3 linked regions of the Callithrix jacchus genome follow. The protein of the gene in region 3 interacts with the protein of the main gene of each other region in a biochemical or structural test. Links are inferred from orthologs where the notes say so. Each region holds a gene or a part of one and is shown on either strand. Other genes may lie near its edges.

Region 1 (10,047 bases), on a different chromosome or scaffold from region 3:
ATGGCTGTAGCAACAACATGAATGCCTGTCAGCAGATTTGCCTGCCTGTACCAGGAGGATTGTTTTCCTGCGCCTGTGCCACTGGGTTTAAACTCAATCCTGATAATCGGTCCTGCTCTCCATATAACTCTTTCATTGTTGTTTCAATGCTGTCTGCAATCAGAGGTTTCAGCTTGGAATTGTCAGATCATTCAGAAACCATGGTACCAGTGGCAGGCCAAGGTATGCCAATTCCAATATAAGTCAGATTTGACTTCCTCTGGGAGTGCCGTGAAAGCATTTCTTCAGTTCAGATTCAGTGCATAATGAAGCTTGCCTTTCCATTTAAATCAACTGTCACCACCTAAAGTGTTTTTCAAACTTCAGGGTGTATCAGAATCATCTGGAGGGCTCATGCCCGCACAACTCCAGGCCCCATCACCAGATTTTTCCAATTTTGTAGTCTGGGGTAGGGCCAGAGCATCTGCACTTCTAATAGGCTCCCAGGGCATGCTGATAGTGCTGATGGATCACACTGAGAACCCCAGGCCTAGAGCAATATACAACGTGACATGGGTTTGCGAGAAGTACTATAGAGTTGGTGTTCCAAAGAACTGTGCCCTGTTTCTATTAATGGAGATTCATGGTAGAAAGTATACTACTATTTAATATGGTAATGAAATAGTCCACAAATATGATTTATTAATATACATTTGGTGAATTGAAGCAAAAGAGTTCACAGTGTTAGTCTCACCTTACTAATCGAATTTTGCAGCACTTTCTTCTTACGTACTGAAATGTATAAAATGATCACTTGCTTCCTAGATGAACCAAGGTTTTTAGGTGTACCTTAGCACAAGAGGAACTAAGAGTTTTCTAGCATCAGTAGGAGAATGTCACAGTGTAAAGATAGATTCAGAGAGCAGAAAGGAAGGAGAAAAGGATGAAGTGAATGAAGGGGTGGAAGAGATGGTCAGAAAAGACAGAAATGCACCTAGCAGAAGGAGTCAGAGCTTCCAGGGCCACATGTCCTCCTGCCTGATGGTCATGTTCACATGGACTCATGACTCATCTTTGTTTTTCCATATCTAAAAAGTTATGGATCTAAGTTATCATCTTGTAAAAATATTACAAATTCAATAGTTTTTTTTGCCCAGCTTTTCATTAAAAAAATTTCAAACACAGAAATATTGAAAGATATAGCAAATATCCTCAGACTCCTTACCAAGATTTAACAGTTGTTAACATTTCATCACATTGGAGCTCTCAATCTGTGTGTGTGTGTGTGTGTGTGTGTACATGCAAATATATTCACATTCATTGTTTATGAACCTTTTGAAAATAAATTTTAATACCATGCCACTTTACCCCTATACATGCTAGCACACAGTTTCAAAGGGCATTTTTTTTACTGAGATGGAGTGTCACTCTTGTTACACAGGCTGGAGTGCAATGGCGCGATCTTGGCTCACCGCAACCTCCGCCTCCTGGGTTCAGGCAATTCTCCTGCCTCAGCCTCCTGAGTAGCTGGGATTACAGGCACGTGCCACTGTGCCCAGCTAATTTTTTTTTGTATTTTTAGTAGAGACGGGGTTTCACCATGTTGACCAGGATGGTCTCGATCTCTTGACCTCGTGATTCACCCGCCTCGGCCTCCCAAAGTGCTGGGATTACAGGCGTGAGCCACCGCGCCTGGCCTCAAAGGGCATTATTAAATATTCATAATCATATTTCTCCAGCTGGCCTCACAACATTTTACATATAGCTCTTTGTTCCATCCAAGATCTAATCAAGATTCATGCATTGCACTGGGAATATCTCATTTGTTTCTTCTAATTTGGAGTACTTGCCTCCAGTTTTTTGCCATGACATTGATGTTTTGAGAGGCAGACCTGTTGTCTTTGAGAATCCCACACTGAGGATTTGTCTAAATATTTAGCTTGTCTTTCATTTTCATCCTGCAGTTCTTGTGAAATGGAAGTTAGGTCTAATTGCTTGATTAGATCAAGGTTAAATACTTTTAGCAAGAATATAGGTTATGCTGTGTACTTGTTACAAAATCTTATTAGGAAGAACATAGTGTCAGTTTGTCCTGTTCTTAGTGATGCTTGAGTTTGATTACTTGGTTAAGGTGGTCCCTGCTATATCACTGCTTTTCAAAAGTTTATTTTTTTCCTTCTTAATTGGTGTGAAATCTATGCAGTCTCTCTTACGCCCTGTGAACATCTTGCCTCCCAAGCACCTTTTACTCATCGGTTTTGGCAGCCATTGATGATCCTTGTCTGAAATAATTATTTAATTGAGGATTGCAAAATGGTGATTTTCTTATTGTAGCATTTCCTTTACATTCGTTAGGTAATAGTCTTCTATAAACGAAAGCTCTTTGTTTCTCCCCAGTTTATTTAAAAAAAGGTATTATCACTGTGGGTCAAATTTTTATCTTTTCAAATTCAGTATGTTATAATCAATTACTGTAATTCTTCTTTTGATGTCCTAGTTGATCCATTTTGGCCAGGCAGAGCCTCTTCAAGTGACCACTTCTGTGGCGTACTTCTGTGTACACCTTGTTTCTTGGTACAATAAGATGTTTCATGTTCACCTCATACCTTCCCTGGCTAACCCTATAGTCAGTATTTCTCCTGGGATCCACAGCTCCATGTTGTGGGCAAGAGTATTTAGAAATCAAGATGTGGGCTGTAGGTCTGCCCACTGCAACTGGGAAAAAAGGATTTCATTTCCTAATGGGGAGATGCTCAGAGCAGTGGTGGGAATGGGGGTTTGAGAGGAAGGGCAGACATTTAAAAGTTCTAGTTTCAGTGGCGGCATTGTTTAATGATCTTTTCTCAACTGTTCCAGGACGAAATGCCCTGCATGTGGATGTTGATATGTCCTCTGGTTTTATTTATTGGTGTGATTTTAGTAGCTCAGTGATATCTGATAATGCAATCCGTAGAATTAAACCAGATGGATCTTCTTTGATGAACATTGTCACACAGGGAATAGGGGAAAATGGAGTCCGGGGTATTGCAGTGGATTGGGTAGCAGGTATGTAAGCTGTATGGTGATTTTAATCTGTTTACATCTCTGTCGTCTTCTTTTGTGCTAGAAAAAGTTTAGTCTAACTACATGTGCTACAGATTTGTTTCTAGACAAGTATTAAGATCATTTAAGATATGTTGAATCTAGGTTAAGCTATGTATCTATTTTTTTTTTTTTGAGACGGAGTTTTGCCCTTGTTACCCAGGTTGGAGCGCAATGGCGTGATCTCGGCTCACCGTTATCTCTACCTCCTGGGTTCAGGCAATTCTCCTGCCTCAGCCTCCTGAGTAGCTGGGATTACAGGCACGCGCCACCATGCCCAGCTAATTTTTTGTGTTTTTAGTAGAGACGGGGTTTCACCATGTTGACCGGGCTGGTCTTGATCTCTTGACCTCGTGATCGACCCGCCTCGGCCTCCCAAAGTGCTGGGATTACAGATTACAGGCGTGAGCCACCACACCCGGCTGCTGTGTATCTATTTGATAAATGATATGGTGTTTCAGTTTACAGATTCATAACAAATTCTTATCATTTTCTTCTATTAACATAATCTGAAGACAAAAATGTCTAAAATATTAAATTATGTGTATTTTTTTCACTTTGATTTGTACCTAGTTTCTGCATTAGAAATTTTCTAAATTTTCAAGAGAAAGGGATAAAATATATAAACTATGGAACAGGATTCATTTTCTTTAAAGTTGAGAATTTTAGTTGCCAAATTCTTAATTACTTCCTTTTGTTCATATATAAAAATTATTTAATTATGAGATATTTTATTACCAATTTTATTTAACTGCCTATTCCAGTATTGCATTCACTTAGTTGTATTGATTCATGCACGTAAGCTTAAATTACCACTCATTTTTGTCACTCATTTAAGTAAAAATACACCTCAAAATTAGTGCTGTTATATATTTTGGAATACAGTCCAACTCTACATAAAATCAGTAACATTGGATCAAGCTTGGTAGGTATCACTTAGAAATATTAGCATGTGTTATGAAAATCTAAGTACTATAATAAGAGTTTATTGCAAAAAGTAAATATGGTAATATGGTTAAATAAAGCTTTAATTGGGTTTCTAACTCTCATTCCTGATTACAAATTACTATTTCTGAGGGTGTAGATAAAGCAGTAGTCAGCAAGCTTGCTTGCGAGTCAAATGCAGCCTGTTGCCTGTTTTTGTAAATAAAATTGTATTGGAACATAGCTATGCCCATTTATTTATGTATTGTCTATGGCTGCTTTCATGTTACAGTGGCAACATTAAGTACTTGTAAAAGAAACCATATGCTCCTCAAAGCCTAAAGTATTTATTATCTGGCCCTTTTTCAGAAAAAGTTTGCCAATTCTGGATTAAAGGTTTGGAAGTGAGCAAATACATACATAGCAGGTAGAGTTAGGTAATGAAAAAATCTATCAGTAACACATTTTGCATTGGCCTGATTTCTCTAGAGGTGATTTGAAGCAGATATAGGAAGAAAATATGTGTGTCTTGGTAGTAGTAGTGATAGTCCAGCAACAGGCTTTCAACTACATGGAATCAGTAATTTGGGATCAGTCTCTAAATACTATCTTCAGAAAGTTATCTTTTTATTCTAGCATTACATTGTGCTATAAGACCCAAAGCGAAATGGACTTTTGTTTTGGTGGCTTTTAGAAGGCCCATGGATGAAAACACCAACATTAGTTAGAAGGACTAAGAAAAAACTTCATGTTACCCCTAAGCACAAAGAACATTTGATAACATCAATAACAACCTGAGATGCTGCTGGTGCCCCCTCTTTGCTACTTTTATCACATTGGGGTAGAAGTTATGCTATGACAATGTATATTTAGAGTCTTTCAAGTAGGTTTTAAGCATTCAGTGATTCAGGTAGAAAAGGAAGGACATTCTGGAAAATATATCTTTCAGTAGAAAGTGTGTTATGATGTTGCTATGAATTCTAATCTACTTTAGGAGCTGAAGATAGGTACATTCTCTCTAAATCTGAAGACTCAATTTCTGTAATTCCTAGGAGTAAGTATTTATTTTTCTAAGCCTAGACTGAGACACTTATTTATTATCTTGGAAAAGACAACATGTAGTGATGCAAACCTCAACCTTATATATTTTGTTCTGAATTTGTAAAGTTTTCCCTTTTTTTCTTTTTCCTTCTCCATTGATCAGCATGCACTTTCATTTTCCTATAGGAAATATTTATTTCACCAATGCCTTTGTGTCTGAAACACTGATAGAAGTTCTGCGGATCAATACTACTTACCGCCGTGTTCTTCTTAAAGCCACAGTGGACATGCCTAGGCATATCGTTGTAGATCCCAAGAACAGATACCTCTTCTGGGCTGACTATGGGCAGAGACCAAAGATTGAGCGTTCTTCCCTTGACTGTACCAATCGAACTGTGCTTGTGTCAGAGGGCATTGTCACACCACGGGGCTTAGCAGTGGACCGCAGCGATGGCTACGTTTATTGGGTTGATGATTCTTTAGATATAATTGCAAGGATTCATATCAGTGGAGGGAACTCTGAAGTGATTCGTTATGGCAGTCGTTACCCAACTCCTTACGGCGTCACTGTTTTTAGAAATTCTATCATATGGGTAGATAGGAATTTGAAAAAAGTCTTCCAAGCTAGCAAGGAACCAGAGAACACAGACCCACCCACAGTGATAAGGGACAATATCAACTGGCTAAGAGATGTGACTGTCTTTGATAAGGAAGTCCAGCCCCGGTCACCAGCAGAGGTCAACAACAACCCTTGCTTGGAAAATAATGGTGGGTGCTCTCACCTCTGCTTTGCTCTACCTGGATTGAACAACCCAAAATGTGACTGTGCCTTTGGGACCCTGCAAAGTGATGGCAAGAGTTGTGCCATTTCAACAGAAAATTTTCTCATCTTTACTTTGTCTGATTCCTTGAGAAGCTTACATTTGGACCCTGAAAACCATAGCCCACCTTTCCAAACGATAAATGTGGAAAGAACTGTCATGTCTCTAGACTATGACAGTGTAAGTGATAGAATCTACTTCACACAAAACTTAGTCTCTGGACGTGGCCAGATTTCCTATGTCAGCCTGTCTTCAGGAATCCATACTCCAACTGTCATTGCTTCAGGTAAGTGCACTCCAGGTGCTGCTTATCCCAGAAGTAGACACAATGGGGTCAACAGACATGGATGACTGAGTTTTTCTAATGCATATTGAGACTCTAATGCCTTTGTGTGTGCTTGTGTGTGTGTCTGCTGGTATGTGTCCAGGTATAGGGACTGCTGATGGCATTGCCTTTGACTGGATTACTAGAAGAATTTATTACAGTGACTACCTCAACCAGACGATTAATTCCATGGCTGAAGATGGGTCTAACCGCACTGTGATAGCCCGTGTTTCAAAACCAAGAGCAATTGTATTAGATCCCTGCCAAGGGTATGCCATCATCTTCTTTGTTATATTTCTATCTGTTTATTTCTCAAAAGAGTGGGGCCTGAAATAATGTTCATAGACTGAGCTTATAACACGATGGCCACAGATTCGAAGGTGAAAGTACATTGAGTGATTTTACCTGGGAAGGAAGGTGCAGAGTGTAGCTCCCTTTGGTGGCGGAAAGGTTGGCAACATACTAGAAAGTTAACACTCTGACTCAACAGATCCCTTTTGGACAAGTTGTGTAAGTAGAAATGGGGTTTCTTTGGCCATGTTACTGGAAATTTGCAATTAAAGTATGTTGTCCTTTTTTTTTTCAAAGGACTATGAGGTTTCCTGTGAATTAATTGTTGACTTCTTCCATATGACTAGGTACCTATATTGGGCTGACTGGGATATGTATGCCAAAATCGAGAGAGCCACATTGGGAGGAAACTTCCGGCTACCCATTGTGAATAGCAGCCTGGTCATGCCCAGTGGGCTGACTCTGGACTATGAGGAGGACCTTCTCTACTGGGTGGATCCTAGTCTGTAGGTGTCTCTGGTTACTCATGTGGGTGTTAAAAGTTTTTCCTCCCATTTCCAAAGAAGAGGGATTTGCATCATGTGATGAAAATGTAATATGCCAGATAGACATTAACTAAATTTATAGAATCACAGTTTTAGGAACTATATTTATATTGTAACTTGGTGAACATACCTGTGAAAATTTATCTATATCGTGCATTGAATAATTATGAACTAAAAGATATCTAAAGATGCATTACTAAATATATCTATAATATCAGCTATAATTATAAATGTATTTTATCAATTAATAACTACAAATGAAATTACTCAATTTACATTCTGCAGGCCCTAGGTAACTGCCATCAAATCTGAATGACTTTAAATGCCCAGTGATATTAAGTTCTTTTCTGGGCTTTAGCATTCAGTGTCTGTTAGAAAATTCTTTTCTTGGGCTGGGCGTGGTGGCTCACGCCTGTAATTCCAGCAGTTTAGGAGGCCGAGGCAGGTGGATCACTGGTCAACATGGTGAAACCCCATCTCTACTAAAAATACAAAAAAATTAGCTGGGCATGGTGGCACGTGCCTGTAGTCCCAGCTGCTCAGAAGGCTGAGGGAGGAGAATTGCCTGAACCCAGGAGGCAGAGGTTGTGGTGAGCCGAGATCACGCCATTGCACTCCAGCCTGGGTAACAAGAGTGAAACTCCGTCTAAAAAAAAAAAAAAAAAAAAAAAGAAAAGAAAATTCTTTTCTTTACTCTTTCTTCTCTGGCAAGGTTCTCCTCAGCACATTTCTTAATTTTTTCCTTTTGTCCACTCTAATTTATATGTAACTTCTCCAAGTACCCTCCAAATGTTTCATATTCCAGCCATCCTAAAGGAATACTTGAAGGGATGAAATTTTTGCCTATAATGGCTGGTGTCAACAGATAGGGAATCTTAATTTTTCTTGCATATTTCTTTGGAATTTTAGTCTTGTGATGCCAGGTACCTAACATCCTGATCTTTTCTTTATTCTCCTATTTGAAACAAAGCAGTGATGCTTTGGGTCTAAGCTTGGCTTATTCTAGATAAATACCTCGAGGTGCTCAATAAATATCAAATTGAAAATGCCACTAAAAATGTGGGATAGAAAAGTCATTGTTTTATTGTGCTCAACGCTGAGTTCCATGCATTACATGGGTTATTTCACATTTTCCTGTTTCTAATGTCAACCTCGTTCCTTTTATAGGATTACTATTCATATTTGGAAGTCAATGATTTTATATAGGCCATTGTTGCATAAGCAAATCAGACTTCCCATAACCAGAAGAAACATTTCTAGCTGCCACATACGCCACTTGAAAAGGAAGTTGGGGGCTTGTGTAAACAATGATGAGGCCCATGCATTGGGTTGCCAGTTGAAAACTTAACTCATTTGAGATTTCAGCTTTTTTATTTTTTTATTTTTATTTTTTGCTTCATTTTAGGCAAAGGATTGAACGCAGCACTCTGACGGGCATGGATCGTGAAGTTATTGTCAATGCACATGTTCATGCTTTTGGCTTGACTCTCTATGGCCAGCATATTTACTGGACTGACTTATACACACAAAGAATTTACCGAGCTAATAAATATGACGGATCAGGTCAGATTGCAATGACCACAAATTTGCTCTTCCAGCCCCGGGGAATCAACACTGTTGTGAAGAACCAGAAACAACAGTGTAACAACCCTTGTGAACAGTTTAACGGGGGCTGCAGCCATATCTGTGCACCAGGTAAGGCATTGACCATGAAAATTGAAACATGAGAATAAGGATCACAATACCAATTGGTAAGGAAAGCTGAAGCTCTCACCAGGAGAAGAAATATCCAGATTCTCTTTGATTTTAGGATAATTTATAAAACAGACCTGGGGCTATATTTTGAGAGGAAGACTTTGTAGACTTATTTTCTATTCTATATGGAGCCCTTTTTATGAAGGCATTTTGTTTTATTTTTGAGATGGAGTCTTGCTCTGTTGCCCAGGATGGAGTACAGTGGTGCGATCTCAGCTCACTGCAACCTCTGCCTCCTGGGTTCATGCAATTCTCCTTCCTCAGCCTCTCTAGTAGCTGGGACTACAGGTGCATGCCACCATGTCCAGCTAATTTTTGTATTTTTAGTAGAGATGGGATTTCACCATGTTGGCTAGGCTGCTGTCAAACTCTTGACCTCAAGTGATCTGCCCACCTCTGCCTCCCAAAGTGCTGGGATTTCAGGCATGAGCCATGGTGCTCAGTTTATGAAGGCATTTTAAATACAAGCTTGATGGAGTTAGAAAGATGAAGGCCTTGGATGCCTCACTTAATGTCTTGACTAGGAATTCCATTAGTGAGCCTACCTTCCTTATTAAAAGGATTTACATTTTCTGCTAAGAGATATTATTTATAGTTTGAAATATTTCTGGAGATATTTGCAGGTGGGATCTTCCATGCTTTATCATGCGTTTTATAAAGAACGACAAATTCATGGGAAGATATGCCTTTTGATGTTGTTGCTTTGCAAATTATGCTTAGAAAGAGAGTTGTTGATATTTCCTGTTGTGTAGAAGGAATCAGGCCTCTATTAGAAATTGGTGATTGCTCTTCTTGATGGAAAGGTGACTCAGAATATAGTTGAAAGGTTAATGGGCAGAATCTCCATGGCTTGTCTTAGCATTTAATGTAGACACTGTTGCAAGTACTATTGTGGAGGAGGAGACAATGTGAATGGTGGCTGCATCCATCTTTCTTCTTCTGGGACTATCTTCATTCAGGACCAGATGGTGCTGAGTGCCAGTGTCCACATGAGGGCAACTGGTATTTGGCCAACAACAAGAAGCACTGCATTGTGGACAACGGTCAACGATGTGGTGCATCTTCCTTTACCTGCTCCAACGGGCGATGCATCTCAGAAGAGTGGAAGTGTGACACTGAAGACGACTGTGGGGATGGCAGTGATGAGATGGAAAGTGTCTGTGGTGAGTTGGCACTTTTGGTAGGAGCTAATGATATCTTGATGTCAAATGTTTGGTACAGAATCCTGCTGTATGTGAATGGGTTTGAAATGTGTGACTAGGCATCCTGGTAGAGCTGAAAAATG
Region 2 (10,841 bases), on a different chromosome or scaffold from region 3:
CCGGGTGTGGTGGCAGGTGCCTGTAATCCCAGCTACTCAGGAGGCTAAGACAGGAAAGTCAGCTTGAACCCAGGAGGCAGAGATCGCAGTGAGCTGAGAGCACACCACTGCACCCCAGCCTAGGCAACAGAGCAAGACTCCATCTCAAAAAAAAAAAACAAAAAACAAAAAAAGAATTAATTATTAATTAGTTAAGAATTCGTTACAAAATAAAGGAATGCACAAATAGATTTCCAAAATCTAGGACCTAGGACTCAAGATCCCAAGACACAGGGATCAGCAAAACCCAGCTCTGGTCTTGGGGGACACCTGGACCCCTGAGGCCCCAGACTTGCCCTAGAAGAGGTGAGGGGTCCCAAGTACCCCTTTCTGTGAACACCAGTGGCTGGTGCCAGGGCCTCCTTGCCATCGGAAGGGAATGGGCCTGAACCACAAAGGTCTCATGGCCGATGGCGCCACTCCACAAAACTAGCCCCAAAGATCCCTCAAGCCAGGAACCTGGGCCCACACCCCCTAGGATGGTGCGTCTGCAGCAGCCTGGAAAGGACATTTGCCAAAGCTAGAGAAGCCGGCTCTAAGCCTCTGTGCCACAATGACCCCTATGAGAGCACGTCCACGCCCCCCAGGGCCCTCCGGAGGGGAACCCCCGCCCTCACCACCCGCCCCACGGATTCGAGTGAGGCTCAGGACTCCGGGTTGCTGGGCAACCGCGTCAACAAGCCCCAGAGAGTCTGCGCTACACGGAGGTTCCACCGACCCAAGCAGGCAGCAAGTATGGGGTGTGGGGACCAAGAAGGGGCAGGACCTCGGCTCCTGGAGCTAAGGAGGGGTGGGGGCGTTCGCAGCCGCTGGGTCAAGCAATGACTCTGCCACTGGCCCTGGCCGGGCAAGGTGGCAGCTGTAGGCTGGGGCTGCAGACTCTTTTCCCCTCTCCCCATCGCGGACCCTCCCTCCTCTGTCACCTGCCCCCGAAGGTCTGCTCCCCACAACCATCTAGGCCCCAAGGGGAAGAGACAGCTGTCTGGTAGGAGTTGCTGACTGTCGGGAACCGGAGACATGGGGGCACAATGAAGGTGCTCCGGGGTCACCTAGAGGTCTCAATGTGGCGCCCACCCTGGCAGGGCCTGAGATCGACTCTGGGGTCTCGGCATTTCCTCGATTCAAACACAGCAGCCGGTAGGGTAGGAGAGACATTTCCTGCAACTGGGTTGATGAGAAAGTCCCAGTTGCCTTCAGGACTCTGGCAGGGCTGCTGCTCGGGAGAGGGAGTAAGCCTGGGCCGAGCTAAGAGGCTGGGGATGCGGGACCAAGTCCAACTGCGGAGAGCCCAGCGGGCCGGAGCTGGGGCGCACGGGGGTCCGCGAGGGGCGGGCAGGGCCCCGGGGCCCACCGACGGTACGCCCTCTTCCCTCCGCAGGGGGAGGATGCGGCCGCCGGCGAAGGAGGCCGGGCGCCAGGGCCCGCAGGAGCGAGGCGGGAAGAGCGCACCCGGCGCGGGGCGGGGTGAGGGAGGCGCCAAGGCGGCGCCCTCGACGGAGCCCTCGATGGAGCCCCCGAAGCCGGGCTGGGCCCTGACGCCGCAGGGACTGGCGGCCTTGCTCCCCGCGCAACGCCGCCGCCTCCTGCTCTTCGGCGACCTGCTGGAGGATGTGGGCGCGGCCGCCTCCACCTTTCCGCGCGGGTCGGCGGAGCCGGGACACCGCATGCCAGACCCGCACATGTGGACGCAGCCGCTCGAGCTGCCCTCGGAGCGCCAGAACCTGCTCCTGGGCGTCCTAAAGGCGGCAGAGGCTCGCGGGCGAGTCCGCGACCTGCGGCGGCGCTACACCCGCATGCGGGTGAGGGGAGGGGGCGCACGGGGCGCGCGGAACGGGGCGGAGCGCGCGGGACGGGGCAAGGTGGGGCGCGCGGGCGGGGCACGTGGGGCGCGTGGGGCGCGTGGGGCGCATGGGGCGCGAGGTCAGCCACCCGAGTCCCGGCAGGCCGAGGAAATCGCGCTGCTCATTCAGCAGCAGAAGTCCGCGCGCGCCTCCATCCGGCTCGAACTGTTCCTGCCACCACAGCTGAGGCCCACGCGGATCCCGGATCCCCTGGACCGCCAAGAGGTGCGGGCGAGCCCCAGTAGGGGCAGGGAGGGGGCCCCCGCCTTCCTCTGCACACACCCGGCCCCAGCCTGTCCCCGCAGCGGAGGCGTGTGGAGGCCATCCTGGAGGAGAACGCGGACAGCAGTATCTTCCCGCGGTGACGGCGACCCAGAGCGTGCGACCTGCCCCAACCTTCCACATAAAGTTATCATTCTCCGAAGGCTCTCTGGTCTTTCTGCTCCGGCTCCCCAGGCCCCCTGAGGGGAGCGGGGAGCATGGACGCTCCCTCTCCCACGGACCTCACAGACTTACTTAGTGAAGACATGCAAGTGGCTGGGGTGAAAGTAATGGGTCAGAGACACGCCTACCCCCAATCCCGTCCTGCCCCATAGGCAACCTGGCGCTCTGCAGGTCCATGGGAGGCCCCCAGTCTTGAGGACGATGGAGAAAGAGCCTGTTTCAGCAACAGTCACACCCCCAGAAGGAAGGGCAATCTCAGGATACAGGTCCGAGTGTGGGAGAGGGCGGTGCTGTGGGGAGCGAAGTGACCTAAGCTGGCCTTTGAAGAGGTACCAGCTGTACCAGGGGACCCAGAGACTGAGGAAGGGGAACCCCCTCTGGGAGGCTCCTGCTGCCCTAGAGAAAAAATCTCACCCTCTGGTCTTTTTCCCCATCCTGAATAGCCTCCTGTGACCCCCTTAATGCCCTGCGCCTCCCTCCCAATCTCTCCTCTCTCTCCTCCCCCCTCCCCTCTCCCCCCTCTCCCCCCTCTCCCCCCTCTTCTCTCTCTCTTTCTCTCTCTCTCTCTCTCTCTCTCAGGAAACCACCCATGTCCCATTCTGACAAACAGGCCCACAACCTACAAATCCCTGGACTCTGAAAAGCCCCCAGGTTTCTGGGCAGACCTTACTCTTCTCCCTGACATGGGCTCTTTGCAGAAGCTGGGGCTTCCCTGGGGCCCTCCTCCTTTTCCTCCCTCCCAGCACCCTGTCCAGCAGGCTGCACAGAAGCGGGAACTACAGGAACTCAGACAAACCTCTCCTCCTGCCAGGGGGCTCCAGCTGGCTCTGCCTGGAGCCAAGAGCAGATTTGGAAGGAGAGGCAGAGGTCCAATCTGGGGCCCAGAAGGGATCCTGCTCAATGGCAGCCAGTGACACTCCCCAACCCTGGCCGGAGTGGGGACCTGCTCACTCTGGCCCCTCAGCCTGTCCTTCTCCCTGCGCACCTGGCCCTTTACTCTTTCTGGGCTGTTGCTGCCCTAGGCCTTGACCCAAGCCCAGACTGTATACAGAGCTCAGAAGTCAGCTTACAGGGAGGGGAGACATGTCAGGAGGGGGTTCAGGAAGCGAAGGGGAAAGAGGAAGGAGGCCAGGGAGAAGGGGCTTGTGCAGGGCAAACAGACAGGGAAGGGGAGGCCATCTCTGTCCAGGAGTGGCAACCACTCACACCCTGATGTGCTTGTGGCATATGGTGACACCAGCCCTGGTGTCCTCTGGCCAAACTCCCTGCAGCCTGGACCCCAGGATTCTGTCTTGGGGACTGACTGAGTGCGTAGAATGAGTTCATCTACTAGGAGAATCATATATTATCTCATCACTTCTCTGAGACTCCATTTCTTCATCTTTAAAATCAGGATCTTGGTGCAGTGCCCCACACGCAGTAAGTGCTCCAGAGGGGATGGGTCACTCTGCATCAGATAGGCACTAAGGAAAGAGGGGCAGACACAGACACAGCAACCCCAGCACCTTTCGAAGGCCAACAAGGCAGGGACCTCAGTGACTGCTCCAGGGTCAGACCGGCACACCGGCCCTCTGATCCCCATGAAAGGAGGGGGCTAGGTGTGCAAAGGAGCTAGGGAATAGGGCCCAGGACATTTCTGCAGGGCCTTGGGGGACTCCTGCCTGTAGAAAGCTCTGTGGGAAAGGAAGGCATGTGGGCCAAGGCCCAATATACTGGGGGACCGTGAGGGGGCAGAGGGTCCTGGGTTCAAATCCCACCTGCATCATCAACTGCCCAGCTCACCTGACTCCACCCGTGTACTTCAGGGATGCTCTGTGCAGCAGCCAGGGGAATGGAGAGCAGGCCCAAGGGGCCAAAGGAGATGGGGCAGTGATGGGGGGATTGCAGAGTAACCCAAGGGCACAGGGAGGGCACTGACCTTCATCCACTGCCGGCTGCCCACACCTGCATTTCCCCACAGCGGAGACAACAGGCTGACCGGCTGGGCGGGGTCAGCCTGGTTGTGTGGCCTGGAACAGGTGCTGGCCCATCTTCACTGAGCCTCCCTGACCTCACCTGTGCCCACCTCAGGAGTGTTACCTGGGCTGAATAAGAAGCAGCCTGCCTCTTGTCCCCATGGGCTTCCTGGCCCGTGCCTTGCCTGGCCTGGCTTGGCCTGACAACATGGCATCCACAGGGTTCTGAGGTCAAGTCAGCCCTAGCGCGGGCGGAATGGGCTGCGGGGCTGAGGGCGGGGCGGGGCACAGCTTCCAGAGGCAGCCTGTCCTCCAGGGCACTCTTGCCTCTGGCCTCCCCCTCCAGGCTTCTGCACAACCCAGCAGCCCAGCGCCCTCCCCTCCTCAGTGCTCCTGCCTCTCCCCAGGCCTTTCCTGCCTGCCCCCACAAATCACCTGTGCCCCCAGCAGCAAATCCAGGCTCATCCGTGTTGCTGGCTTCTGGTCCCACAGCCTGGCCCACAGGGACTCGCAGATACTGGTCCTTGTCCATTGAATTAGGTGCACAAGCAAGATCTCCAGCTCCCTTTCCAGGCCTCAGAGTTCTGTGAAGGTGTACACCTGACTTGTGCAATTGGAATGCATTTTATGGGCGGCCCCCGACACTAGAGGTGTCCCGGCCAAGTGCTTGGGGAGGACAGGAGTTGCAAACGGGGCAGGAGGGGCACAGATGTTCTGCAGACGGTTCCAGAGTAGGGTCAGGGCCACCTGACACACAGCATGATGGGACGAGACGCCAAACCCGGTCTGTACCGAGTCATAGAGGAGGCGAAGAGTTGGCCAAAGGGACAGGGCATTCGTGGCAAAGGGGGCAGTGTACGCGGGTCGGCAGGGACTCTGCCAGGCCCCACAGAGACATTCAGTATGACTGCGGATGCAAGAGCCGCGCCCCCAGTTCCCCCCAGCCCAGAAGCCCCCACAGCGCGAAAGGCTCTTAACCCAGTTTCACAGACGAGGCTCAAAGGGGCGAGGGGTGCGCCGGGCTGCGGCGCTCGCGGACCAGTCCTTCACTGCAGCCGCCCGTTTCCCTAGCAGCGCAGGCAGCACGCGGGCCCGGCTCTCGCGCGTCCACGCCAGCGCGTGGCGGGAACCCCACTCGAAAGGCAAGGCGGGGACGGCCCAGCCGAGCGGCGTCGGGGACCACGGCCAAGGCCGGTCGACTACAGAGCAGCTCGGGCCGCCGGGGCCGGGGCTCCCCTCTCAACACCCCGACCCTCCCGCCACCCCCGAGCGACCGTGGGGACCGAGCGCGGGCGGGGCGGGCTGCTGGGCCGAGCGCGGGGCGGGGCGGGGCGAGTGGGGCGGGCCCGGCGCCTCCCGGCGCGAGGAAGTCCCGGCGCGGCTTTGGGGAAGTGCGGCCGACGCGCCTGCGCACTGCCCACGCCCCCCCACCGACGGCCTGGCGGGACCTCGGAGCGCGCGGGCCGGCGGCGGCGCGAGCGGCTCGGGAGCGCGGCTGGTGAGTCCGCGCGCGCGCGCGGCGCGGGGACGGCGGCCCTGCCCGTCCCTGCCCGGGCCCGGGGACCGTGCGGGGCGGGAGCCGTGGGAGCCGGCGCGCGGGCCTCGAACCCCACGGGCTCGCGCCGCCAGGTCCACGTGGACCCTGGGCCGCAGTGGAACTGCAGCCCGGCCCCCGCGCGTGGGGGAGGGGGCGCTAGGGCCGGGTTCCCCTTTTTCTGGAGCTCAAAGCCCGGGGAAGTGATTGCTCAAAGGTGGGGGCCGGAAGAACCCAGGTTTCCGCGTCTTCCTCCCCCCATCAGCCTGGTGAGGAGGGGCCGGGGCGGGACACCCTGTCCGCCCCCGCCCCCACCTCGCCGGATCTGGCCGCCACTCAGCCCTGCGAGCCGCAGGGGAGGTGATGCGACCCCGGCCCCAGCCGATCGGGGTCTCCTGGCGCTAGCCTCCCTCCTGCCGTCTGACTTGAGTCCCTACTGCTGCAGTGCACACCCCTTCGGCAGACAGGGTGCGGCCCACACCCAACCTGGCCCCTCCTGCCCCCACCCTGCCTTTGGGTCGCTGGTGAGTAGGGCGCCTTGAGGTAGGGGTGGGGGCATCAGAGGCTGGAGGAGGACACAGGCTCCCAGACTGGACCCTAAGAGCAGAGAGAGGAGCGCAGTGGGTGGGTCACCATCACTGTTTTAGAGGTGGGCTATGGTTTGCCCAAGCCAGATGGGGAGGGTGGCATATGGGAAAGGCCCTGGGCAGGAGTAGAACTGGGAATGGAGCCCCTCTCAACCCCCCCTCTCAAAGGTTGTGACATTTTTTTCTGGGATTGTCACATTTTCTTATTCTTTTTTTGGACTGGGCAGGCTCTGGGACGTTCTTTTTCCTTCTGTGGAGCAAAGCAGCAGCCACTCCCCAAGGGAGCCTCTATCCCCAGAGACCAGACGTGCCGCCTGTCCCGCCTCTCTCATCCCAGACTTGGGGGCCAAAGCCTGGGGGACTGGGGAAGGGGGATCCCCAATACCAGGATGATGAGCAGGGGAACCCTAGTTGAGACTCTGTATCCCCTAGCAGAGAAGGGGAGTAGCCTGGGGACATAGGTGGTCCCAGTTGACCAGAGAAGAGTACAGGAAGCCAGGTCCAGGGATGGTGACCAGGTCCAGGGATGGGGGCCAGGTCCAGGATGGTGACCAGGTACAGGGATGGTGGCCAGGTCCAGGGATGGATGGTGGCCAGGTCCAGGGATGGATGGTGGCCAGGTCCAGGGATGGATGGTGGCCAGGTCCAGGGATGGTGACCAGGTCTAGGGATGGGGGCCAGGTCCAGGATGGTGACCAGGTACAGGGATGGTGGCCAGGTCCAGGGATGGATGGTGGCCAGGTCCAGGGATGGTGACCAGGTCCAGGGCCTGCAACTGGGAAAGAAGGGGCTGGCCCCCTCCTCTGCAGCAAACGAAGGCCCTGCACCCCGGCCCTGCACCCCTGGACACATCCCCTCCTCTAGTTCAGAGCTGGGGCGGAGATGGTAGCCCAGGAGGGACAGTGTCCAGGGTTGGGGAGGACCCTGGGTGGGGACAGAGAGGAGGAAGAACTGCCGCCTGGGGAAGTCACAGCCCGGTCTGGTACAGCTACCAAACCTCAGGTTGCCACACCCCTTCCTTTCCCTAGAAACTCGACCCCTAAAAGGAAGCCCAGCTGCAGGGCTGCTTTCTGTCTCCTCATGTACTTGCTAGGAGCCCATGGGACCCACAGTTTCAGAGAAAGGTGGGCAGGTGGTAAGGGGCTGAGGTCCCCTGCACCTGCTTCAGACTTGGGCCGGGGCAGTGGGTACCCTGAGTGCAGAACTCCAGCATTGTCTCCTCTGAGCTCCATTTACACCCCTTCCCACAACCAGACAGAAACAAGCACTCAAAGGCCACAGGCTAGGGGAGGCATGTCAAGGAGGGTGACAATTGAGACAATAAAGTCGAACCAAGTTGTGAGCCTCCTGGCCAGGGAGGAGAGCAGCCGATGAGGAGGGTAGCGGGTGTGCACGGAAGCCCAGAGGGCCCTACTCTGGGCAGAGATGGGCTCGGGTGTTCACAACCGCCTCCAGGGCATATTGGCACCCTGTGTTTGGGATTCGAATATGTTTGGGATTCGAAATGGTGTCTCGGGTAGCAGAAGGGCAACTCACAGCCTTGGCGTTCCTGGCGCACCTCCCCTGCAGACGGTGCAGCCAAACACCAGGAAGGACTCACACCACACCACACCCCACCTATCAGCAACTCCGGGGCTTTGACTGGGGAGCAGGGTTCCCCCGCCCACTGCCACCCCCACTTCCCTGGCTGGCATGCCCTGCGGTAGGGCCTTGGTTCCACAGCGGTTTCACAGCCTAGAGGTAGAGTGGGCAGGAACAGAGGGAAGTCTTGGGTGGGAGGCAGCAGGACTAAAGAACCATGTTTGTGGGGGCACGTGCCTCCTCACCAGGGCCCTGCACCCCTTCCCACACCCTCAGGCGGTCCGGCCGTGAGTCCCACTTAAATCCTTAATGCAACAAGGCTAGCCTGCCGCCCCTGGCTGAGACCTCCGGGGCCTATGAACAGACCTGGACTCATGGGGGAGAGCTATTCTGCCTACTCCCCACCCGACACCCTAGAAGCGAGTCTGGCCACCACCCTCATGTATCAGTCGGTAGCCCCAGACTCTCGGGGCCCCTTTGGGAGGGGCTGGGAGTCGGAAGCCAAGAAAGAGGAACCCAGGCTTCCGGCTTCCCAGGGACTGAGCGGATGGGGTGTCCTGGAACCTCTTATAGGGGCCTCATCTGGGGTCCAGCCTGGGAGGAGGGGCCACAAGCTGCCGCAGTCCCCTCCTCCATGACTCTGGGCCCCCTCCCAGCCCTGCTGTAAAGCTTAGAGTAGGGGTAGGAGCGGTCAGCAGAGCCGGGTCCAGAGGTAGGAGCAGGCCCCGCTAGGGAGACACCCTCTCAGGACCCCTCCTAAGGGACAGGCCGGGGCTGGGGTTTCTGGTTCTCAGTCAGAACCTTGGCACCTCTCCCCAGACCCCCAGGCTGTGGTGAGGGTCTGAGAGCTGGCACCACGGAGCCTGGGCAACCTCCTCCGCCCACCCATGCCCACCCCGCATGAGGCTGAGAAGCAGGTATGCCACCTCCCCTCTGCCTCCGCTCCCCTGGGGGAGATGGGGTGGGGCAAGCTGAGGGGCCACAAGGAGTTGGGAGACCCCTGAACACCTGGGAGGCCAGAAGGGTCATGTCCCTGGGAGCAGGGGCCATGCATGGGAGGGTAGGCAAAAGGTGGGTTCTGACCTGGAGGCTGAGGTAGCCCCATCTCACCGCAGAACACAGGGCCAGAGGAGGCAGACCGGCCCCCTTCAATGTCCAATCATGATGCAGCACCTCCAGCGGCCCCCAGCCGCAACCCTTGCTGCCTGTGCTGGTGCTGCTGCTGTAGCTGCTCCTGGTGAGTGGGGCCTGGGGTGCCCAGCTGGGGAGGGGGCCAGGGGTATGGGGCCAAGGAGACCCAAGAGGGGTCCTAGTGGCTTCTGAGGCATCCTCTGCAGGCAGGATGCCTCTGCCACCTTGCAGCCAGCCCTGTCCTGTCCAGGGTCTTTGGGGCCCTAGTGATGAGTGGCAGGTGCCTTGGCCTCTGGGGGGGTCAGGGGGCTCGTGTATGGTTCTTGTACCTGTCTTGCCAGGGGTGCATCCAGCTGCTGTGTACACGCATGCACCCGTTCACATAGCATGTGCTTATCAATACTGCTGTGAGCCAGGCCAGGCTGGGCTCTGGGTGCCTGCAGTGGAGTAAGACGGGCACAGGCCAGGTGTGGTGGCTCACGCCTATAATCCCAACACTTTGGGAAGCTGAGGTGGGCAGGAGTTCAAGACCAGTCTGGCCAACATGGCAAAACCCCATCTCTACTAAAAATACAAAATTAGTCAGGCATGGTGGCAGGCATCTGTAATCCCAGCTACTCGGGAGGCAGGAGAATTGCTTGAACCTGGGAAGCGGAGGTTGTGGTGAGCCGAGATTGTGCTATTTTACTCCTGCCTGGGAAACAAGAGCGAAACTCTGTCTCAAGAAAAGAAAGACAGGCACAGAACCCCCCAGACTGTGTGGGGTGGAGGGACTTTCGAGGAGAGACCCAAAGAGGGAACCACTGGCCCTGGGGTGATGGCCAGGAGCTTCCCAGACAGCGTGCGCAGGGGGAAAAGAGCATGGGCTTAGAGAGGTGGTCTCTGGGCATCCCTGTGGGGGTGGGAGTGGGGCTCTCAAGTGGTAACAGATTTTCTAGGAGGGTAGAGGAGCTGGTGGATGTTTTCCTGCCTTGCCGAAGCCTGGCCCTACTCAGGCTTCAGGCCCTGGCTGAGGGGACAGTGCTTCAGCTGACCCATGAGCAATGGGGTGAGCAGGGGACAGTGAGGAGAGGGGGTGGGAGGAGTCCAGGGGCTTTGTCCAGAGGAGTCAGGACGTCTGGGTACATGACGTCTGCCAGCCATCCAGGTGCCCTGGAAAGAGGTCAGCTGGGTGTGGATTTGGGTCCAGCACTGACAGTGCTAGCAGCCAAGGCAGGAAAGAAGCTTCCCTTGAGAGCCAGGGATCAGGCTCCAGAACCTGACCGGTGTGGACACGCGGGTCTGGGACCCTCACGTGCGTCAGCCGACAAGACACTGCCAGCACGCCAGACCTGCAGTGGGAGGCCCCACTGGAGGGACAGGGATGGGAGTCAAGATCAGGCCTAGGAGCAGGGTCCTGCCCAGTGGGCCAGGGACGGGGAGGAGCACCAGGAGCCAAAGGGTCCCTCCTGGAAGGCCAGAAAGTCCCGGCCACTGGGGCAGAGCCTTTTGCCTGGGCACTGTGGCAGGAGCAGCAACCTGGACAGCATATTCCCTGGGGAACTGGGGAGGGACCAACAGGGAGGCCCCGTGTGCCAGGGCAGTGCTGCTTCCTCCCTGCCTCTAGGAACGAAGAGCGGCGGCGTGCGTGGCAGGCCTCCCGGGAGAACAAGCTGCAGCCCCTCCCTAGCTGTGAAGTGTGGTGAGTCCACCCGGCTGGTGTGTGCGCACTAGGGGGCCCAGGCCAGGA
Region 3 (10,844 bases):
CCGGCTGACTTAGGTCACTTTGGGAGGCTGAGGCGGGCAGATCACAAGGTCAAGAGTTCCAGACCAGCCTGGCTATCAGGATGAAACCCTGTCTTTACTGAAAATACAAAAATTAGCCAGGCGTGGTGGTGCAGGCCAATAATTGCAGCTATTGGGGAGGCTGAAGCAGGAGACTCTCTTGAACCAAGGCAGAGGTTGCAGTGTGCCATTGCACTCCAGCCCGGGAGACAGAGTGCAACTCCATGTCAAAAAAAATAATCTAGGCCTTAAAGAACGTGCACTTATCTTCTCTCCCACATACCTGAGAGCACTTTCTGTTGACATTACACTTACTGGAGAGGAGACGGAGTCTGATTTTTTCAAACTCCGTGATTTATTTATTTGTATATTTATTTTTGATGTGGGGTTTCACTCTGTCGCCCGGTCTGTAGTGCAGTAGTGCAATCTCAGCTCACTGCAACCTCTGCCTCCTGGGTTCAAGCAATTCTCCTGCCTCAGCCTCCCAAGTAGCTGGGATTAGAGGCATGCACCCCCATCCCTGGCTAATTTTTGTATTTTTAGAAGATATGGGGTTTCTTTTTTATTTTCTTTTTTTGTTTTGTTTTGTTTAAAGATGGGGTTTCACCATGATGGCCAAGCTGGTCTTGAACTCCTGACCTCAGGTCATCCACCCACCTCAGCCTCCCAAAGTGCTAGGATTACAGGTGTGAGCCATCTTGCCTTGGCTAAACTCCGTGATTTTTTTTTTTTTTTTTTTTTGAGACAGAGTTTCACTCTTGTTACCCAGGCTGTAGTGCAATGGCGCAATCTCAGCTCACCGCAACCTCTGCCTCCTGGGTTCAGGCAATTCTCCTGCCTCAGCCTCCTGAGTAGCTGGGATTACAGGCACGTGCCACCATGCCCAGCTAATTTTTTGTATTTTTAGTAGAGACGGGGTTTCACCATGTTGGCCAGGATGGTCTCGATCTCTTGACCTCGTGATCCACCCACCTCAGCCTCCCAAAGTGCTGGGATTACAGGCGTGAACCACTGCGCCCGGCCCCAAACTCCATAATTTTTAAGTAAGACACCTTCCCTCTTTGTCAGAGGGGCAGCAGTGACAATTGCAGGAGAATACTTGAAAATGTCCCCCACTCCGTGGCAACTGTGAGTTCCCTTGAGGTCACCACTCACATCCTAATAATCTGCATCACCAGTGGCCAGAGTGACGCTTGCCCCAAATCTGACCCTCTGAGTGTTCGCTAAGTGAATAATTAAGTGACAAAGTGATTCAGACAAGAGGACCTGCAACATTTTTTCCTATGATAATTCATGTCAGGGTATGTGCAGAGGAAGGATAACCCAGCCCTGGGGTCAGCTGGTGGTTCCCTCTGCCCCACCCACACCTGCCAGGGACCCCACCCCTGTGCCCTAATTTCTTCAACTCTCCCACCAGGGAGAAGCAGATATTCACTCTGGCTCCAGGAGAGCCCCTCTTTCCTGAAAGACCTTTTGTCTTTTTCTTTTTTCTCTTTCACTCTTTTTTTTTTTTGAGATTTAGTCTCACTATCACCCAGGCTGGAGTGCCATGACATGATCTTGGCTTACTGCAACCTCTGCCTCCTGGGTTCAAGCGATTCTTCCACCTCAGCCTCCTGAGTAGCTGGGATTACAGGCACCCACCATCATGCCCAACTAATTTTTGTATTTTCATAGAGTCAGGGTTTCCGCATGTTGACCAGGCTGGTCTTGAACTCCACCCACCTCAGCCTCCCAGTGTGCTAGGATTTCAGGCGTGAGCCATTGCACCCGGCATTAACAAGTGGGGGCGGCTCTCTCCTGCCTCCTGGTGGTTTCAGCCATCCTGAGCCTTCCTTGGGGTCATATCTGCATTGCTCCAGTCTCTGCCACGGCCCTCCCCGCTGTGTGCGTCTGTGTCTCCTTTTCTGTCTCTTGTAAGGACACCCGTCATTGGATTTCGGGGCCAACCACCCTAATCCAGGATGATCTCATCTCAAGATCCTCCACTGAATGACATCTTTGAAGACACTTACTCCAAGTAAGGTCACATTCACAGGTTCTGGAATGTGGGCATTCCTTTTAGGGTGGGGGCATCTTTCAACTCATTAAACTGACAGAGGCACTTTCCATAGGCCTGCAGCGTGGAGGGGAAGAGGGCTGGCAGGCCCCGGACCCACAAGCCAAGGCACAGAGCTTGTTAGGATGCAGGGAGGGGCTCCTGGACAATGAGCCAGGGATGAGGCCCCTAGGCTGGGGATCTGGGAACCAACACACACACACACACACACACACACACACACACACACACACACACAAGCCTGATGTGGCTGAAACTGAGAGAGCAGGAGAGAGCAGGACCGGGTGTGTTTAGGAATGAGACACACCAGGCCCTGCATTCCTGAGTTGGAAGAGAAATTGAGAGTTTAAGTCAGGAGGGGCAAGGCCCGATTTTCTTTCACATGGAAGTCAGAGCCAGGAACTGGGTAGTTTGCCTTCGTGGGATCCCAACGCTCCCCAGGAATATTATGCTGGACATCAGTGTGGCCAGGTGTGACTCCTAAAAAAAAAACACACTTTGGCTCACAGGGACAGGTTTTTTTGGGGACACATGGCCTCGGGGGGTGCGGTCCTTGGTCGAGAAGGAAGGTGACTTGATTCGGGTGCTCACGGACGCCCTCTGGCCGCTGTGCAGAGAACTGACTGTAGGGCTGACAGTGAGGGTGGAGCGGGAGGACCAGGGTGGAAGCCGCTGCACCGGGTGGGAGGTGATGGGGCTGGCTGGACTAGGAGAGGTGTGAGCAGGGTACGCCACCATACTAAGCTAATTTTTGTATTTTTAGTAGAGATGGGGTTTCACCATTAGCCAGGATGGTCTCAATCTCCCGATCTTAGGATCTGCCTGCCTAAGCCTCCCAAAGTGCTGGGATTACAGGCATGAGCCACCTCGCCCAACTGGATTTTTTTTTTTTTTTTTTTGAGACTAAGTCTTGCTCTGTCGCCCAGGCTGGAGTGCAGGAGCACAAAATCAGCTCACTGCAACCCCCGCCTCCTGGGTTCAAGTGATTCTCCTACCTCAGCCTCCTGAGTAGCTGGGATTACAGGTGTTCACCACCACACCCATTTAATTTTTGCATTTGTAGTAGAGACAGGGTTTCACCATGTTGGCCAGGATAGTCTCAATCTCCTGACCTTGTGATCCACCTGCCTTGGCCTCCCAAAGTGCTGGGATTACAGGCTTGAGCCACTGCACCTGGCCCGACACTGTCTCAAAAAATAAAAATAAAAATAAATCAGAAAGGAGATGCCCAGTGCCGCTTTGTGTCTTGAGCAATCACATAATCCCATCACCCCTTCTCTGGGCATTTCCTCATCACACAACAGGAGCCAGGTGGATCCTGGCTCAGGACTTTGCAGCCTCAGTCATGCTGTCCCCTGGGCTCTCCAAGAGTGCAGGGGGCAGCTCAGATGCCAGGCTCAGGCAGGGCAGGCAGCACAGTCCCACAGAAGGCACTGGCCAGCCCAGGCACCTATTGCTCAGTGGGATGGCAGAGGTCAGCAGAACAGGAAGAGAGGGACAATAGCTGTGCCTGTTGCCTGGCCTGCCACAGCCTTCTCAGTGTTTGCCAGCTGGGTGGGGCTGACTAAGCAATCCTCAGCAGTGAAGCTCAAGGTTTCATCTTCTCTCTCTCTCTCTCTCTCTCTCTCTCTCTCTCTCTCTCTCTCTCTCTCTCTCCTCTCTCTCTCTCTCTCTCTCTCTCTTTCTCTTTCTTTTCATGACAGAATCTTGCTCTGTCGCCCAGGCTGGAGAACAGTGGCGCGATCTCAGCTCACTGCAACCTCCGCCTCCCTGGTTCAAGCCATTCTCCTGCCTCAGCCTGGCGAGTAGTTGGGACTACAGGCACGTGCCACCACGCCCGGATAAGTTTTTGTATTTTTAGTACAGACAGGATTTCACCGTGTTAGGATGGTCTTGATCTCCTGACCTCATGATCTGCCCGCCTCAGCCTCCCAAATTGCTGGGATTACAGGCGTGAGCCACCATGCCGGGTCTCCATCTCCCCTTTCACTTTACCCCTCTGCAGGTCCTGGTGGGGCTGAGTTGCACACAGTCACACCCTGGAAACTGCAAAGAACCAGTCATCCGATGAAGCTTGAGCAGGGTCTCAGCGCTTAGAGGCTTCCAAGAACTACAGTTCCCAGAACACGCAGCATTCAGTTGCTGTCCAAGTGGCTGGGTTTGAACTAGAACAAGGAAATCTCGCCTGTCCTGGGAACTGAGCGTCCTGGCCTGTTCCAGGTGCGTTTGTGACTCATGTTTCTTGGATCTGTGCCCTCCTGAGAAATCCCCGTTCCTTATAAACTACCTGGTGCATTTGTCCACACAGGTTTGCTGAGAACCTGTTATGTGGCAGCTTGAGATGGGAGTGAGGGGTTGACGAGAGAGACTCAGTCAGCCTCCATCCTCACAGTCAGATGGAGACAGATCCATCAAAGGTCGGAGGCTGGCTGGGTACCCTCTGTGATCTAGCACGTAGTAAGTGACCAACAAATCAACAAGCAAATAAAAACTATCTCACTCTTGTCTTTCATTCCATCTTGCCTTTCCACACTGATTTACCAGCTCCCACGATGTTGCACTATCCTAAAGCGTGCTGTAGCTCTCTGGCTTTTGCACACTCTGTTATCTCTACTGGAAGCATATTCGGCTTACTGGCTCACGCGTTTGTCTGTAGGACAGAGCCTGGCACGGAGCAGAGGGCACATTAAATATTTGATGAGTGAGTGAATGAATGAATGAATGAATGCCTTTCTCCATTGTACACTCCAGGAAGCAGGGACGCTCGGGACCCTCCGTATTTATCTCTGCCCCCCGCCCGCCCCTAGAGTATGAATGCACTTTTTATCAGCTCCGAGGATGGCCAGGCTGGGGCAGAGGCCGGGCGGGGAACTGGGTTAGGAGCTGCCATCGACCCCCCACCCAGGCCTCCTAAACGGTCCACTTTCCCGGACGTCGGGAGTTCGCATCCTGTCCCCGAAACTTGGCCTCGGTCACCTGACTCCCCCGCCCCTCACCACCCAGGGCACCCTAGACGGACATTCAGCCAACAGCACGTGGTTCAGGGGCCCCAGCTTCCTTCCCATTGGCCGCTCGCCTCCTTCCTTCCCCGCGATTGGCCGGGACCCAGCCGCAGCTCCGCCCCCCCTCCTCAGCCCTCTGGTGGTACAGCCCGCCGCGGCTCAGGCGGGGCGGAAAGGTCCACTGCTTTGCGGCGCAGGGGGAGCCGGGAAGAGCCGGGTGAGGCGGAGGGATCCCTCTGGAATGTTTCCGTCGGGTCCACCCGAAGCGGGAGGCGCGGATTGGCCGCGAGCTCCGGAAGACAGCCGCTAATTGGTCTTCCGCGGGCGTCGGCCCCGCCCCCCTAGGCGCCACTGCGGGAGAGGCCCAGGCAGGAGTTTGCGGAGGGCCGAGCCGGGTGCGCGCGGGGAGGCGGTGGCGGCGGCGCAGGTGAGTGGCCCCGGCGGGAGGGATGTGTCCACTCTGGGGGCCCCGGATGTCGCGGGCCCGCGAGGATCCGGCGGATCGTGCAAGGTGGGGCGGGCCCCGGGGACGCGACTGGAGGTCTAGGCTGAGCGCGGGGATGCCGGAGGCCCCTTCCTGGGGGGAGCGAGGGTGGGGGTGGTGGGGGCAGCTCCCTTCCTGCTGGAGGGCAGAGGGCAAACGCCTCCCAGCACCAGGTAGGGGTCTCCGGGCTTGCCCCTCCCCCCTCCCCCTTCTAGACGGCCCCCATCCCGGGGGGGACAGGCGTGGGGTCGATGTTTCTGACCCTTTCCTGTCCATTTTCCCTGAGCGAACCGCGTCTGAACCCTCCAGGGCCTGGGGCACGCAGTGAGGACCAGGGCCTGGATAATTATCATCATGAAAAACTCCACCCCAGCTAGCATTTATGGAGCGCTTCCGTGTCAGGCATTTACCATGCGGATCATTGAATCAAAACACTTCATGGGAGGTGTTGTGCCTTCTTGTAAAAAAGGTGAGGCAGCAGGCTCAGAGAGGTGGAGTGACTTGCTCAAGGTCACACAGCTAGTAACTGGCACATCTGGGGCTGGAACTCATGCCCCCAGGGTCCAGAACTGGAGTCTCAGCCACTAGACTTGATACCCACTGGCTCCATAGTTCAGTTGTTGCTGAGCAGCTCCAGCCCCTACCCCTCCCACCCCTACCTCATACTCATCATCAGGGCCACACTTGTTGGTCTTTTGTTTCCTTCCCCCCCACCCCCACAACCCCCAAAGATCACCAGATACCAGCCACTCAAACAGGAAGCTGCCCTCATGTCCCTTCTACCCTGAGCTGGAGAGGGCAGGTTTGACTACCTGGGTCCAGAGAAGAGTGACATCTGCAGGGGCCCAGGATGCTGGGGTCCTGGGCCTGCTGGGTCCCCCCTGGCAACCTGGGCCAAGGCTGAGCAGTAGGCGTTCTCCAGGGAAACACCCAGGAGCCGGTTTTTCAAGAGTGAATCAGAGGCCTCTCTCCCTCCTCTCCAAGGCAACACGGTGTGGGAAGGGGGAGCCTGGGCGTGATTTCCCCCTTCCCCTAGCTTCTGTGTGCTCCCAGGAACCCCTTTCCCTCCTCCTGCCGACCACACTGTGTTTCTGGATGGCTGTGGGGTTGCGAAGTTTCAGGCCCTTCCCAGGATGAGGGGGCCGGGATGCCGAAATTCCAGCCCAAACAGTTAATATCCAGGTCGAAGTTTCTCTTCTTCATCTCTGCGTTCAGGTGTGAGGGGAGCCAGGGAAAGTGGGGAGTTAGTAACCCCACAGTAGGCATGTTTGGGGGGCTGTTTTGAGGATGGAGGTTTGCAGAGAGCAGTCAGAATGAGGACCTGAGACACATTCATTCATTCTACAAATATTTCAAGTGAGCACCTACTATGGGCACGTGCTAGGCACTGTTCTTGGCACAGAAAATAACATAAATGAACAAAAATTCCTGCTCTTGAGGAGTTGGCACTCTGAAAGGAAGCAGCCAACAGCAAGTTATCAAGTAAATAAAGAAGATAATTTCAGATGACACTAAGTGCTATGAATAAATGTGTGGGTAGTACTATAGAGGGTTGTGGGCAGGGGGTGCCAGTGCCAGGAAGATCAGATAAGGGGGTTGGGCAAGGTGGCTCACACCTGTAATCCCAGCACTTTAGGAGGCCGAGGCAGGTGGATCACTTGAGGTCAGGAGTTTGAGACAAGCCTGGCCAATATGGGGAAGCCCTGCCTCTACTAAAAATTAGCCAGGCGTGGTGGTGCATGCCTGTAATCCCACCTATTTGGGACACTGAGGCAGGAGAATCACTTGAACCTGGAAAGTGGAGGTGTCGGTGAGAGGAGATCGTGGCACTGCACTCCAACGTGAGCAACAGAGCAAGACTCCATCTCAAAAAAAAAAACAAAACAAACAAACAAAAAAAAACAGGTCGGGCAAGGCCAAGGTCTTTCTTTAGGCTGGACCAAGCTTGGAATCTAGTTGGAGCAGATGAACCCAGAGCAGGGATTCTGCAGGGGTTTGTGGGTCACAGTAAGGAGTTTGCAATTTTTCTTCCAGAAGGTGGGAAACCGTTGTAAAGTTTCAGTCAGGGCAATGATGCCATCTCATTTATGTTTTAAAATAGAGACATGAAGTTAAATGACAGCCTGAGGCTGGAAGACAAGAGTTCTGCCAGGGCAGCATGCAATTAAGTTCCTGGGCCTGAGCTGTCTGTACCACAGGGGAGGTTCCAACATGCTGGGGCAAGCCTGGGAGGCTGCCTGGAGGAGTGAGCCTGGAGTAGGTCTTGGCAGGCAGAGAGGGCGGGGATATTCCTGGGCAGGGCAGGGCAGAGAAGGCGATACCAGTAATAATGACAACAGCTTCCTTACATGGAGTCTGAGGCAGAGTATAGATGGGATACGTGGGCAATCTCTTTGGATTTCCATAACCACCTTGAGAGTGACAGGAATTCTACCCATTTTTCAGATGAAGAAACTGAGGCCCTGTGAAGTGAAGTGACCTGCCCACAGCCACACAGCTGGTAAGTGGCAAGGGTGGGATTTGAACCCAGGCCATGAAGCCTCTTATGGCTGTGGCAGGCAGATTCATTAATCACTCACTTTCCTCCCTGCTGTTAATCCTCACTCACGGGTGGGGACACAGAAGCCAGCATGAACCAGGGCAGTGGGTGTGGACAGAGAGAGAGTAGGGAGGTTGGGAATCTTGGTCAGGATGTAGGGATCTTGGAAGTTTGGATCTTGGTACAGATGGCAGTAGTAATAATTGTCACCAATATTTACAAAAAGCTTATTGTGTACCAGGACTATTGCAAGCACATGTGTGATTTCCTTGGAGCTCAGAGAGGTTAAGACCCTTACCCAAAGCCACACAGCTAGTAAGAGATGAGGCCAGGTTCCAGACAGGTTTTTAGCTTCCTGCCTCCCAGTGCACAGAGCTGGTGGAGTTGGGGGGGTAATGACGGATGACAAAGGCTTTTTTCTTTTTCTTTTTTTGAGACAGGGTCTTGCTCTGTCACCTAGGCTGGAGCACAGTGGCATGATCTTGGCTCACTGCAACCTCCACCTCCCAGGTTCAAGCAATTCTCTCCTGCCTCAGCCTCCCCAGTAGCTTGGATTTCAGGCATGCAGCACCATCCCTGGCTATTTTCGTTTGTTTTTTTAGTAGAGACCAACCTGACCAACATGGAGAAACCTCGTCACTACTAAAAATACAAGAAATTAGCTGAGCATGGTGGCACATACCTGTAATCCCAGTTACTCGCGAGGCTGAGGCAGGAGAATCACTTGAACCTGGGAGGCAGAGGTTGTAGTGAGCCGAGATCGCACCACTGCACTCTGGCCTGGGCAACAAGAGCAAGACTCCGTCTCAAAAAAAAAAAGAGAAAAAGAAACCACACAGACAATGAAAGGTGAGGGAGATGCTATTCCTGCCTTCCTGGCTAGCTGAAGCACCTACTATGTGCCTAGCACCAACCTGGGAAGCAAGAGATGTGGGGGCCACAGAATGGGACTTGTGCTTTTGCTGCAGAGATGAGAGCCTTTGTCTTCCTGGGGCCAGGCACCCAGACTGCTGGGTGTGTGGATATTGGGATCATTCAGTCATCCATTCATTCATTCAACAAATATTATTGGCCGGATGTAGTGGCTCATGCTTATAATCCCAGCACTTTGGAAGGCCAAGGCAGGAGGACCACTTGAGCCCAGGAGTTTGAGACCAGCCTGGGTAACACAGCAAGACCCCATCTCTCCAAAAAAAAAAAAAAAAAATTAAGGCAAGGTGCCATGGCTCATGACTGTGATACCAGCACTTTGGGAGGCCGAGGCAGGTGGATCACCTGAAGTCAGGAGTTCGAGATCAGCTTGACTAACATGGTGAAACCCCATCTCTACTAAAAATACAAAAATTAGCTAGGCGTGGTGGCATGTGCCTATAATCCCAGCTACTAGGGAGGCTGAGGTAGGAGAATTGCTTGAACCCAGGAGGCAGAGGTTGCAGTGAGCTGAGATCACACCACTGCACTCCAGCCTGGGTGACAGAGCGAGACTCTGTCTCAAAAATAAAAATAAAAATTGGCCATGTAAGGTGGTGTGCTCCTGTAGTGCCAGCTATGGAGGAGGCTGAGGCACGAGGATCACTTGAGCCCAGGAGGTGGAGGCTGCAGTGAACTATGATTACACCACCACACTGCAGCCTGCACAACAGATGACACCCCTGACTAGGAAAACAAACCGAGGCTGGTTGTGGTGGCTGGCTGACACCATTTTCCTTCCAGTGAGGCCAGAGCCCGAGGAGGGGTCATAACAGAGACAAATGTGACGTGACTTCTGTTTTACAGGACCATTCTGGCTGCTGTCTGGACACGAAGTCGTGGGGGGTGAGGGTGGAAGCTGGGAAACCCACCAGGAGGCAAGAGCAGTAGTTTAGGTGAGTGATCATGGAGATGGACCAGGTAGGAATGCATTCGTGAACAAATGGGTACATAAGATTGGGTGCGGGCCGGGCAGGGAGGTTCACACCTGTGAGCCCAGCACTTTGGGAGGCTGAGGCAGGCGGATCACGAGGTCAGGAGTTCGAGACTAGCCTGACCAATATGGTGAAACCCCATCTCCCGAGTAGTTGGGATTACAGGTGCCCACCACCACGCCTGGCTAATTTTTGTATTTTTAGTAGAGACAGGGTTTCGCCATGTTGGTCAAGCTAGTCTCAAACTCCTGACCTCAGGTGATCCACCTACCTCGGCCTCCCAAAGTGCTGGCATTACAGGTGTGAGCCGCCACACCCAGCTGCAGCTCAGGTCAGGGCCTTTCTACTGGCTGTTCTCTCTACTTGGAATGTTCTTGCCCCAAATCATTGCATGGTGCTTCCTCCTGTCATTCAGGTCTCAAGTTCAGCATCACTTGTTCAGAGAGGCACTTCCTGATCTTGTCTATAGAACTTGTCTTGCTTTGTCTCCATATCAACATTAAAAATTATATGAGGCTGGGCACAGTAGCTCATGCCTGTAATCCCAGAACTTTGGGAGGCTGAGGCTGGAGAATTGCTTGAGCTCAGGAGTTTGAGACCAGCCTGGACACCACAGCAAGACCCTGTCTCTAAAAAATAAAAAAATGAGCAGGGCATGGTGGCAAGCCCCTTTGGTCCCAGCTACTCAGGAGGCTGAGGTGGGAGGATCACCTGAGCTCACCACCTAAGGCCTAACTGCACCACTGCACTCCAGCCTGGGCAATAAAGCAAGACTGTCAAAGAAAAAGAAGAAAACAAAAGAAAGAAAAAAAATAGTATTAAACATTTACACCTTTCC

What was found.
Region 1: the proteins of GIPC1 (region 3) and LRP2 form a complex in vitro, tested with the Homo sapiens proteins (2 studies listed by BioGRID). The link is inferred for Callithrix jacchus from reciprocal best matches to the Homo sapiens genes GIPC1 and LRP2.
Region 2: the proteins of GIPC1 (region 3) and RGS19 form a complex in vitro, tested with the Homo sapiens proteins (2 studies listed by BioGRID). The link is inferred for Callithrix jacchus from reciprocal best matches to the Homo sapiens genes GIPC1 and RGS19.

The regions. Positions count from the first base shown.
Region 1 is NC_133507.1:60,279,058-60,289,104, forward strand, and holds part of LRP2 (low-density lipoprotein receptor-related protein 2), read left to right. Parts: coding exon 1-222; intron 223-2,835; coding exon 2,836-3,024; intron 3,025-5,211; coding exon 5,212-6,132; intron 6,133-6,274; coding exon 6,275-6,440; intron 6,441-6,809; coding exon 6,810-6,968; intron 6,969-8,412; coding exon 8,413-8,702; intron 8,703-9,721; coding exon 9,722-9,925; intron 9,926-10,047. UniProt on the Homo sapiens protein: Multiligand endocytic receptor. Acts together with CUBN to mediate endocytosis of high-density lipoproteins. Mediates receptor-mediated uptake of polybasic drugs such as aprotinin, aminoglycosides and polymyxin B.
Region 2 is NC_133506.1:59,548,025-59,558,865, reverse strand, and holds the start of RGS19 (regulator of G-protein signaling 19), read left to right. Parts: upstream 1-5,689; 5' UTR 5,690-5,777; exon of another isoform or gene 5,778-6,258; 5' UTR 6,259-6,337; intron 6,338-6,627; 5' UTR 6,628-8,868; coding exon 8,869-8,898; intron 8,899-9,096; coding exon 9,097-9,218; intron 9,219-10,718; coding exon 10,719-10,793; intron 10,794-10,841. Other genes in the region: protein LKAAEAR1, read left to right, coding at 861-1,024, 1,418-1,838, 1,983-2,105, 2,186-2,245. UniProt on the Homo sapiens protein: Inhibits signal transduction by increasing the GTPase activity of G protein alpha subunits thereby driving them into their inactive GDP-bound form. Binds to G-alpha subfamily 1 members, with the order G(i)a3 > G(i)a1 > G(o)a >> G(z)a/G(i)a2.
Region 3 is NC_133523.1:13,274,578-13,285,421, reverse strand, and holds the start of GIPC1 (PDZ domain-containing protein GIPC1), read left to right. Parts: upstream 1-5,457; 5' UTR 5,458-5,590; intron 5,591-5,872; exon of another isoform or gene 5,873-6,032; intron 6,033-8,008; 5' UTR 8,009-8,063; intron 8,064-9,878; exon of another isoform or gene 9,879-9,967; intron 9,968-10,844. UniProt on the Homo sapiens protein: May be involved in G protein-linked signaling.